2 linked regions of the Arabidopsis thaliana genome follow. The protein of the gene in region 1 interacts with the protein of each later gene in a pairwise test. Each region holds a gene or a part of one and is shown in the gene's direction. Other genes may lie near its edges.

Region 1 (3,662 bases):
TTATTGTTCAAGTTGTCTCTTCTATTTTCGAAACATCGCCATGTTCAAATCGACAAAAAAAGAAGTGTATAGAACAAATCCACTTAGAATAAGTTACATCTTATGTAGATAAAATAAATAAATAAGTTTTGTAGAAAATTAACCAAACATATACAAACAGACGATAAGCATTTGAATTGAATTATATTTGTCTATACCATAAATTGAGTCTCAAAAGATTTAACCTGAAATAACTATCCTAACGGAAAACTGTTTTGAAGATGACAAAATACGAGATAATGTGTAGATTCCGTGTGTATCTCTATTGATAGACTTTAGTTTTTGTGTATTCTTGAAGGACATAAACCTATTTTAAGACCAGTTCAACAGAAAACTGGTGCAGACCACGATCACAGTTGTAATGAGTTTTCTAAAATGGTAACCACTCCTTTTCCTTTAAGAAGCAGTCCTTCTTGTCTCCTGCCCTAATTCTCTTCTTCTCTATAAACCCATATTCTAGTTTTGTTCTCATTCATTCTCTGTTCAAAGCTCATAAATAATAAACTCCAATTAAGAATGGATCAAGCGGAGCTTGCCAGGATCTTCCAAATGTTCGACAGGAACGGTGATGGCAAAATCACGAAGCAAGAGCTGAATGATTCATTGGAGAATCTAGGAATCTACATTCCAGACAAAGACTTGGTGCAGATGATCGAGAAGATTGATCTCAACGGTGATGGGTACGTGGACATCGAAGAGTTTGGAGGGTTGTACCAGACGATAATGGAGGAAAGAGACGAGGAGGAAGACATGAGAGAGGCTTTCAACGTGTTTGATCAGAACCGGGACGGGTTCATCACGGTGGAAGAGCTAAGGTCTGTGTTAGCTTCCTTGGGGCTCAAACAAGGAAGAACCCTAGAGGATTGCAAGAGGATGATAAGCAAAGTTGACGTTGATGGAGATGGCATGGTGAATTTCAAAGAGTTTAAACAAATGATGAAAGGTGGTGGATTTGCCGCCTTAGGATCAAACTTGTAAAAAAAAAACTCATTTTTCGGGTTCGGGTTTGAGACCCAAAATCATTGGGTATTTTTTTCTTCGGAATGATTATTAGGGCAAAACCTTGAAAGCGATGATGAATGGATTTGCAAAAGAAAAAAGCTCAACAAACTTTGTGAGCTTTGTTTTGAATGCTCCTACAAAAATGTTGTTGATGAATTTGCTTTTCGGATTTTGAAACATAACCATGCGAATCTACGGGAACACTTGATGATTCTTTTATTATTTATATATTTGGGTGTTGCACTTAAAAAGTTATCACTATCTAGCTTATAATCATAAAATGATGAAAATATATTTGTATTTGTAAATTACAAAGATTAAACACAAACAAACAATCGAATTTCTACCCAAAAAAACAAACAAACAATCGAATTTATGTCTTTAAAGTGAAGATTTAGGTCAAAGTAATGGAAAAAAGTGTCTCATGGAATATGTTAGTCAGGCGGTCAAAGTAAAAAGTAAAAAGAGAAAAAACTATAAACTACATGATGTTTAACTCTTCAAGTGACGTCAAGACATAAACTACGTGCCGTTTCGCACTATTCGTAATCCAACGGGCGAGACTGGAATGAATTTATGACCAGATCTTGGTTTTTTCTTGTCGTCTTCTTCACCGCTTACCAGTTACTAACTTGAGCTTCAGAGATCATCATCATCATCACTTCCTCTCTCTGAAGAAAACACAATTTGGAGTTTTCTAATCTTCATTCCAAGTGAGTACTTCAATCGAATCCCTTTTCTACTATTCAATAATTCAATCTATTATTCAAATTCTCGTCTATCTGTTTCGATGATTTTGAGGTTTTCGCTCCCTTTTGTTATCAAATTATGGAATCTGATTCCCAATTTCGCGTTTGTATGTACTCGATTTTCTCTTTTTTCTTGCATGATTACACTTTGGTGAAGTTCAGAATTCGAGTAATATCACTTGAAATTGCTACTCTCTGCCTATTCATTAGGGTTTATGAATACATAGTTTAGGGTTTATGTTTCCATTAGTCACTTCTTGAGGACCTGCTTATCTTCGAGCCATTGTGTATTTGATAAACTTTGGAAGAAGTGTCCACTATATCTAGCGTAGGACTGAATGTAGTAGATTAGAACTGCTAAGAGTTGGTTAGAGAAAGGGGTGGGTAATTTATAAGGATTTTCTAGGGTTTGGTTAGGTATTCGGTAGAGAGTTTCTGGTTTGGTGAACAAGACATAGCTTTGCATCATTTGTTTTGAGTTGAGATGTTTGTGTGTTGTGTTGTGGCAGTGGAAGGGAACTCTTTACCCGAAGAAGATGTAGAGATGATGGAGAATTCAGATGTAATGAAGACAGTCACAGATGAAGCTTCTCCAATGGTGGAGCCGTTCATTGGTATGGAGTTTGAATCAGAAGAGGCTGCAAAGTCTTTCTATGACAATTACGCTACATGCATGGGTTTCGTTATGCGAGTGGATGCTTTCAGGAGGTCAATGCGAGATGGGACTGTGGTGTGGCGCAGACTCGTGTGTAATAAAGAAGGATTTCGTAGGTCGAGACCTCGGAGAAGCGAGAGTAGAAAGCCTCGGGCTATAACAAGAGAAGGGTGTAAAGCTCTGATTGTTGTGAAAAGAGAGAAATCCGGAACATGGCTTGTTACTAAATTTGAGAAAGAGCATAATCATCCTCTCTTGCCTCTCTCCCCTAATGTTCGCCGGAATTTTCAGCTCCCTCAAACACCGGTACGTCTACGCACTTTTCCTTGGGGTAAAAGTAAAACAGTGATTATTGGCATTGATCTAAGAGTTACCAAGAACATAAAGCTCAAAAAATGATATCGAAATCTTGTACAAATGAACTTTTCAGGACGAGAAAGACGCAAAGATTAGGGAGCTGAGTGCAGAGCTGAGCCGAGAGAGAAGGCGTTGTACTGCTTTGCAACAGCAGCTTGATATGGTCCTTAAGGAGATGGAAGAACATTCCAACCATCTCACCATTAACATCAATAGTGTTATCCAAAGTGTTAGAGACATTGAGTCCAATACTTTCACCAAACAACAAACATAATGCTTCATTTCTGTTCATAAAAGCTTAACATCAAATTCTCATAATCCAATGTTCTGTATCTTGTGATTGATTCTTCATTCTCCGAAACAAAAAAACAAAAAACTAGATTGGAAGGCATTGATGATGAAATTACACATTGGCTAATCAAAACAAAGCCATGGACATTATCCAATTTTGACATAGCATCAATGCCAGAAAGCGTAAATGGCGGTAGAGATGTAAATCAGCAGAGCAGAGGAAACCAGAGTGACGAGCGTTGCAACAGCTTGAGCCGCCGATTTGCTGCCGCAAGAGAGCAAACCAAGACGGATCTGAATCACATTAACCATAGAGAGCATCAAGAAGAGACAGCCCATTACAGATCCGACAGCAGAAGCCATCATTCCCCATCTCAAAACCTTGATATTGATGTGAGCTCTGAAAATCTCGTTGACGTCTTTGCTATTAAGAAGGTTTAAGGCAAGCTTAAGACCCTGAGCTACAAGAGAGGAGAAGAGGAAGAAGCTGAAGGAGACGACTTCGAAGACCAGTAGCTTCTTGGCGACGTCAGCACTTGCGTCGCAGCTGGATCGTTGTTCGAGGCTGT
Region 2 (4,944 bases), on another chromosome or scaffold:
GGGATTCTATGAAGGAGAGAGTAAAAGAGCTGCTAGCAGGGCAGGCGTCACACTCAGAATTACAGGAGAAGGTCACATCTCTTAGTGATCTACTAGCTGCGAAAGACCTAGGTCAGTTTTTCTCTTTTACCCTTTTGTTTTTGCACCGCCACATATATAGCTGATACCTAATTGCTTCCTGCAGAAATTGAGGCCTTAATGCAAGCGCTTGACGAGGAAGAGTCTCAGATGGAGGATCTGAAACTCAGAGTTACAGAATTAGAACAGGAAGTGCAACAGAAGAACCTAGACTTGCAGAAAGCTGAAGCTTCTCGTGGGAAGATTTCCAAAAAGCTATCAATTACTGTGGATAAATTCGATGAGCTCCATCACCTCTCTGAAAATCTTCTTGCTGAAATCGAGAAACTTCAACAGCAAGTGCAAGATCGGGATACAGAGGTTTCTTTCTTAAGACAAGAAGTCACTAGGTGCACCAATGAGGCTCTTGCTGCTTCTCAGATGGGCACTAAGAGAGATTCAGAAGAGATCCAAACTGTACTGTCTTGGTTCGACACGATAGCTTCACTACTTGGTATAGAAGATTCGCTGTCCACTGATGCTGACAGTCATATAAACCACTACATGGAGACATTTGAGAAAAGGATAGCGTCTATGCTATCTGAAATAGACGAATTACGGTTGGTTGGACAAAGCAAGGACGTTTTGCTTGAAGGCGAGAGGAGTAGAGTGGCTGAGCTCAGACAGAAAGAAGCAACTCTTGAGAAATTCTTACTTGAGAAAGAATCCCAACAAGACATTTCAACAAGCTCGACGTCAGAGATCGTTGAAGTGGAACCTCTGGTAAGCTTTGAGCTTGTTAAATAGTTACACCATTCCAGATGCCTCAAGATGATAAATTTTTAATTGTGGATTTTTTTTTGTTGGATATCACAGATAAACAAGTGGACAAAAACATCGATTCCATCACAAGTCCGGAGTTTGCGTAAGGGAAATATGGATCAAGTCGCCATTAGTATAGATGCAGATCAAACTGATCAAAGCGGTAGCTTAGAAGAAGATGATGATAAAGGTAATTAAACTTGTCTCTGAATATTTAGTACTTTTAACAACATTTCTTAGTAACATTCCCATTTGTATTTTTTCTGTTTTTTAGCTCATGGTTTCAGATCACTCTCTACGTCAAGAATCATTCCTAGATTCACAAGACCCATCACTAACATGGTCGATGGTTTATGGTCAGACTCTTTTCATCCATGGATCTCGTTCAGTGTAAAGTTCTTTAATTATGATCTAACAAAAAACGACCCTTTTATTTGGTTTCTGAACTTTTCAGGGTCTCTTGTGATCGGACGCTCATGAGACAACCTGCTTTACGGTTAGGGATCATGCTATACTGGGCGATATTGCATGCTCTTTTGGCTGCTTTCGTGGTCTAACCAAACTTCCAATTTCGTAAGCTCATTACTGACTTTTTTTTTTTTAATCCCAAAACAAGTTGCAAAGAGTAGCTTGATTTGCTAAGCTTTTAAGACGTGTTTTAATCGTATATTTGCAGCTGGTTTCTCGTTATAGCATGCATGGGCTCATCAAAGTGGTGATGTGTTGTCGTCTCCAACACTAATTTTTTTTTTTTTTTTTTTTTTTTTTTTTTGTCTTTGTCTTTGTTTTTAATTCATTGTTTAGCTTATATTAACCAAGCAAACTGTGGTTTCAGCATTTTTATTGATCCGAATCACAAACTGCTTGGGTTTTCAAACGAATAAGAAAGAAAGTTTATTTAGTAGCTGTGGAATGAAAGTGTGATTTAACTAGAGAGACTTGAAGTTCTATTATTTTTCTTTTTCCCTATTCTGCTATTCATTATTTTCAGAAATACAAAGCAAAATACGTGAAATGATCACATTTAAGTATTTAACAAACTATACAGAGAAAAAATAAATATCACCGACACTAACATATTATTGAAAAAAGGCATGAAAAGGCTACTTTTAAGCCCAATAAATAGGCCCAAATTGTATATTTACTAAATTTTGTTAACGCGCTTACAAAACCCTTTGGAAAGTATTTCATCAAATTTCAGATTCAGAAACCCTAATTTCTTCACAAAGCAAAACACAGAAAAAGCCATTCTTTTTGCCCCTTGAGTGCTTTCAGCTCTTCCCACAAGGTAGGTCGCAACCAAGTTTCTTTATCTCCTTCTCACTCTTAATTGTGGTAACGTTGATCCGATCTGTTCAAATTTGATCGGGTCACTTGGTGGATCTAGTGACTCTGTATTTTTTCTCGATGAATTCAAATCCTTTCGAATGTCTTACTAGAAAAGATTTAGAATTCCTTTATGTTGACCTTGGTTTATTGTGCCATTGACAGGTTACAGAAGTAATGTCACGTGTGTACGTCGGAAATTTGGACCCGCGAGTTACTGAGCGTGAACTTGAGGATGAGTTCCGTGCCTTTGGAGTTGTCAGGAGGTAAGAATCAATCCAATCAATCAGTTCGCGCTACAATTTTGTCACTTTTGAAGTTAAAAGTATCCAATTTTGCATCTCTCTAATGTTCATATGTAATGTGCAGTGTTTGGGTTGCCCGTAGACCACCTGGTTACGCTTTTCTAGATTTCGAAGATCCTAGGGATGCCCGTGATGCTATCCGTGCTTTAGATGGTAATGATGCATTCATATTCTTTCTATTTTGCTTTGTTCTCTTAGAAGTTGATGTTTTGATTGGGATTGGAAAATAAGTTTGGTGGAATCTTTTAAAGGAGAGAAATTTGAGGTTTGCAATTACTTTTGACTTGAAACTTCACAATTTGACATGGATATTGTGATAACGGATAGGCAAGAATGGCTGGAGGGTTGAACAGTCTCACAATCGAGGTGAGCGTGGTGGCGGCGGTCGTGGTGGTGACCGTGGAGGTGGTGGCGGCGGCCGTGGTGGTCGTGGTGGCTCTGATTTGAAATGCTATGAATGCGGTGAGACTGGTCATTTCGCACGTGAATGCCGTAACCGTGGTGGAACTGGAAGGCGTCGCAGCAAGAGCCGTAGTCGCACTCCTCCAAGATACAGAAGGAGCCCAAGCTATGGACGGAGGTCAGTGATGCTTTTTATTTTGTTACCTTAGTACCTTATTTTGAACGGATTAAGTAACCTTGCCTTTTTCTGGTTTTAGGAGTTACAGCCCTCGTGCAAGATCTCCCCCTCCTCCAAGGCGCCGCAGTCCTTCTCCTCCTCCTGCCCGTGGCCGCAGCTACAGTAGATCACCACCTCCATACAGAGCGCGTGAGGAAGTGCCATATGCTAATGGGTAAATTTCTTTTTCCCAAGTCTCTATATCATTATCAGTGTTTAGGTTTTGGTTATAGTTCTTAGAGATAAACATTTACATTTTCTTCAGATGCTAATTCAACATCTGTTCTTGTTTCTTCAGAAATGGACTGAAAGAAAGACGCAGAAGCAGGAGCTGAGTGAGTGATTTTGCAAGAAAACGAGTGTGTGGGAGGATACTTTGGAAGAGAAGAAGAGAGGGACTAAGGGAAGTTACTATCATCTATGAATTTCAGTAAGAGAACATGTTTTAGGTCTGCTGGGTTGGATAAAGCTTGCTACTTTTGCTTTTGGATATGAAACGTACGTAGTTGTGTATCTACCAATAGGTAAAAGAACACTTGATTCGTACCCTAGTTTCTTAAAGACATAATGTTTGATTGGAAATTCTGCTAAATGCCTAAGCGTTTCTTGTCTTTTTCCACCGTGTCGAGGTTTCTTCGGGTCTACTACTACTACTACTGCTTCATTGCTTATCTACTTGCTTCTCTACTCTTCTCATATGAAGCATCTTCCTTAGTTTCTTGGCCTACTTCATTGTTTATCTGCTTGCTTCTCTACTCTTCTGCTATGAATCATCTGCATTTAGTTGCTCGGCCTGGTATGGGAAAAGTTAAACCACGGTTGTGGATCCCTAACATCATCTTCATTTAGTTGCTCGGCCTGCTTCATTGTTTATCTACTTGCTTCTCTACTCTTCTGCTATGAATCATCTTCGTTTAGTTACTCGGCCTGCTATGGGAAAAGTTAACTACGGTTGTGGATCCCTACATGGCTTGCTTCTACTTCATCTTCGACCCTAGAGATGCGCTATTGTTTGAAAACTTCATCAGCTTTGAGGTTACCTTCTTTGCATGAACTTGAGCTGCATCACTCAGAAGCACCTCTTGTGTGGTCTGAATGTTGTGCATTAGGTTTAGCATAATTGTAGCTATGTGATAGTGTTTAGTATGCACATTCTTGTCCTTGGATAGATTTTTGTGCATTTCACGGTTTATATAGGCAAGTCAAGAATTTGTAAATGCGTATCAGTTGCTACCATTTGGTACTTGTGTTCATTTCACTTAAGCATAGTTGTGAAATTGTTCACTTTTATGAAGGTGAAGCAAAGTAATTGCCTAAGAGGAAGATTGAATACATAATCTGATTTGCTCTTATTCACGTAACAACTAGCTATGGTTTCGTTTCAGCAACTATAAATCCCAAATTAAGTGAAAAAATAAAAGTATACTTGCGAAGTAGACATGGAGACGTTGTTTTGGCATGACAACAATTAAAAGCCTAGAAAAGCAAGAGAGACAAGATCATGATCCTAGTTCGGTCCCAGAATCATCAACAAACCCACCAAATTAAAATCTGTTTGGTCCCATTCTTCACTTACACATCATTGAATTGATTGTTATGTGACGTAAACCTCTCTGACCTCTGCTTTTTTTCTGCAATTATGCTTCTCCTCATTCCACTTCCTCTGCCGACACTTTTTTTGCTCCACGTTTCTTCACTTTTCACCGACACTAAGTTGAGAATGTCCTAAGATCCTCAGAGAATACAATAAATATTGGTCTTTCTCTTGTTTCAGTTTAGTCAGAAAACTGGTTCTTGTTAGTTATTTACAGTTAC

Evidence for each region. Proteins that work in one complex are often made in the same cells at the same time.
Region 2: the proteins of AT3G07500 (region 1) and RSZ22 interact in a two-hybrid assay, tested with the Arabidopsis thaliana proteins (one large-scale study listed by BioGRID).

What each region holds. Positions count from the first base shown.
Region 1 is NC_003074.8:2,390,634-2,394,295, forward strand, and holds AT3G07500 (Far-red impaired responsive (FAR1) family protein), read left to right. Parts: upstream 1-1,582; 5' UTR 1,583-1,753; coding exon 1,754-1,754; intron 1,755-2,299; coding exon 2,300-2,751; intron 2,752-2,875; coding exon 2,876-3,076; 3' UTR 3,077-3,145; downstream 3,146-3,662. Other genes in the region: AGD11 (ARF-GAP domain 11), read left to right, coding at 556-1,017; AT3G07510 (maternal effect embryo arrest protein), read right to left, coding at 3,262-3,662.
Region 2 is NC_003075.7:15,304,601-15,309,544, forward strand, and holds RSZ22 (serine/arginine-rich 22), read left to right. Parts: upstream 1-1,943; 5' UTR 1,944-2,167; exon of another isoform or gene 2,168-2,171; intron 2,172-2,370; 5' UTR 2,371-2,382; coding exon 2,383-2,471; intron 2,472-2,574; coding exon 2,575-2,663; intron 2,664-2,837; coding exon 2,838-3,090; intron 3,091-3,169; coding exon 3,170-3,304; intron 3,305-3,427; coding exon 3,428-3,464; 3' UTR 3,465-4,435; downstream 4,436-4,944. Other genes in the region: AT4G31570 (nucleoporin), read left to right, coding at 1-111, 185-840, 934-1,069, 1,167-1,269, 1,334-1,436. UniProt on the Arabidopsis thaliana protein: Sequence-specific RNA-binding protein probably involved in pre-mRNA splicing. In vitro, can complement efficiently splicing-deficient mammalian SRSF7-depleted HeLa cell extract.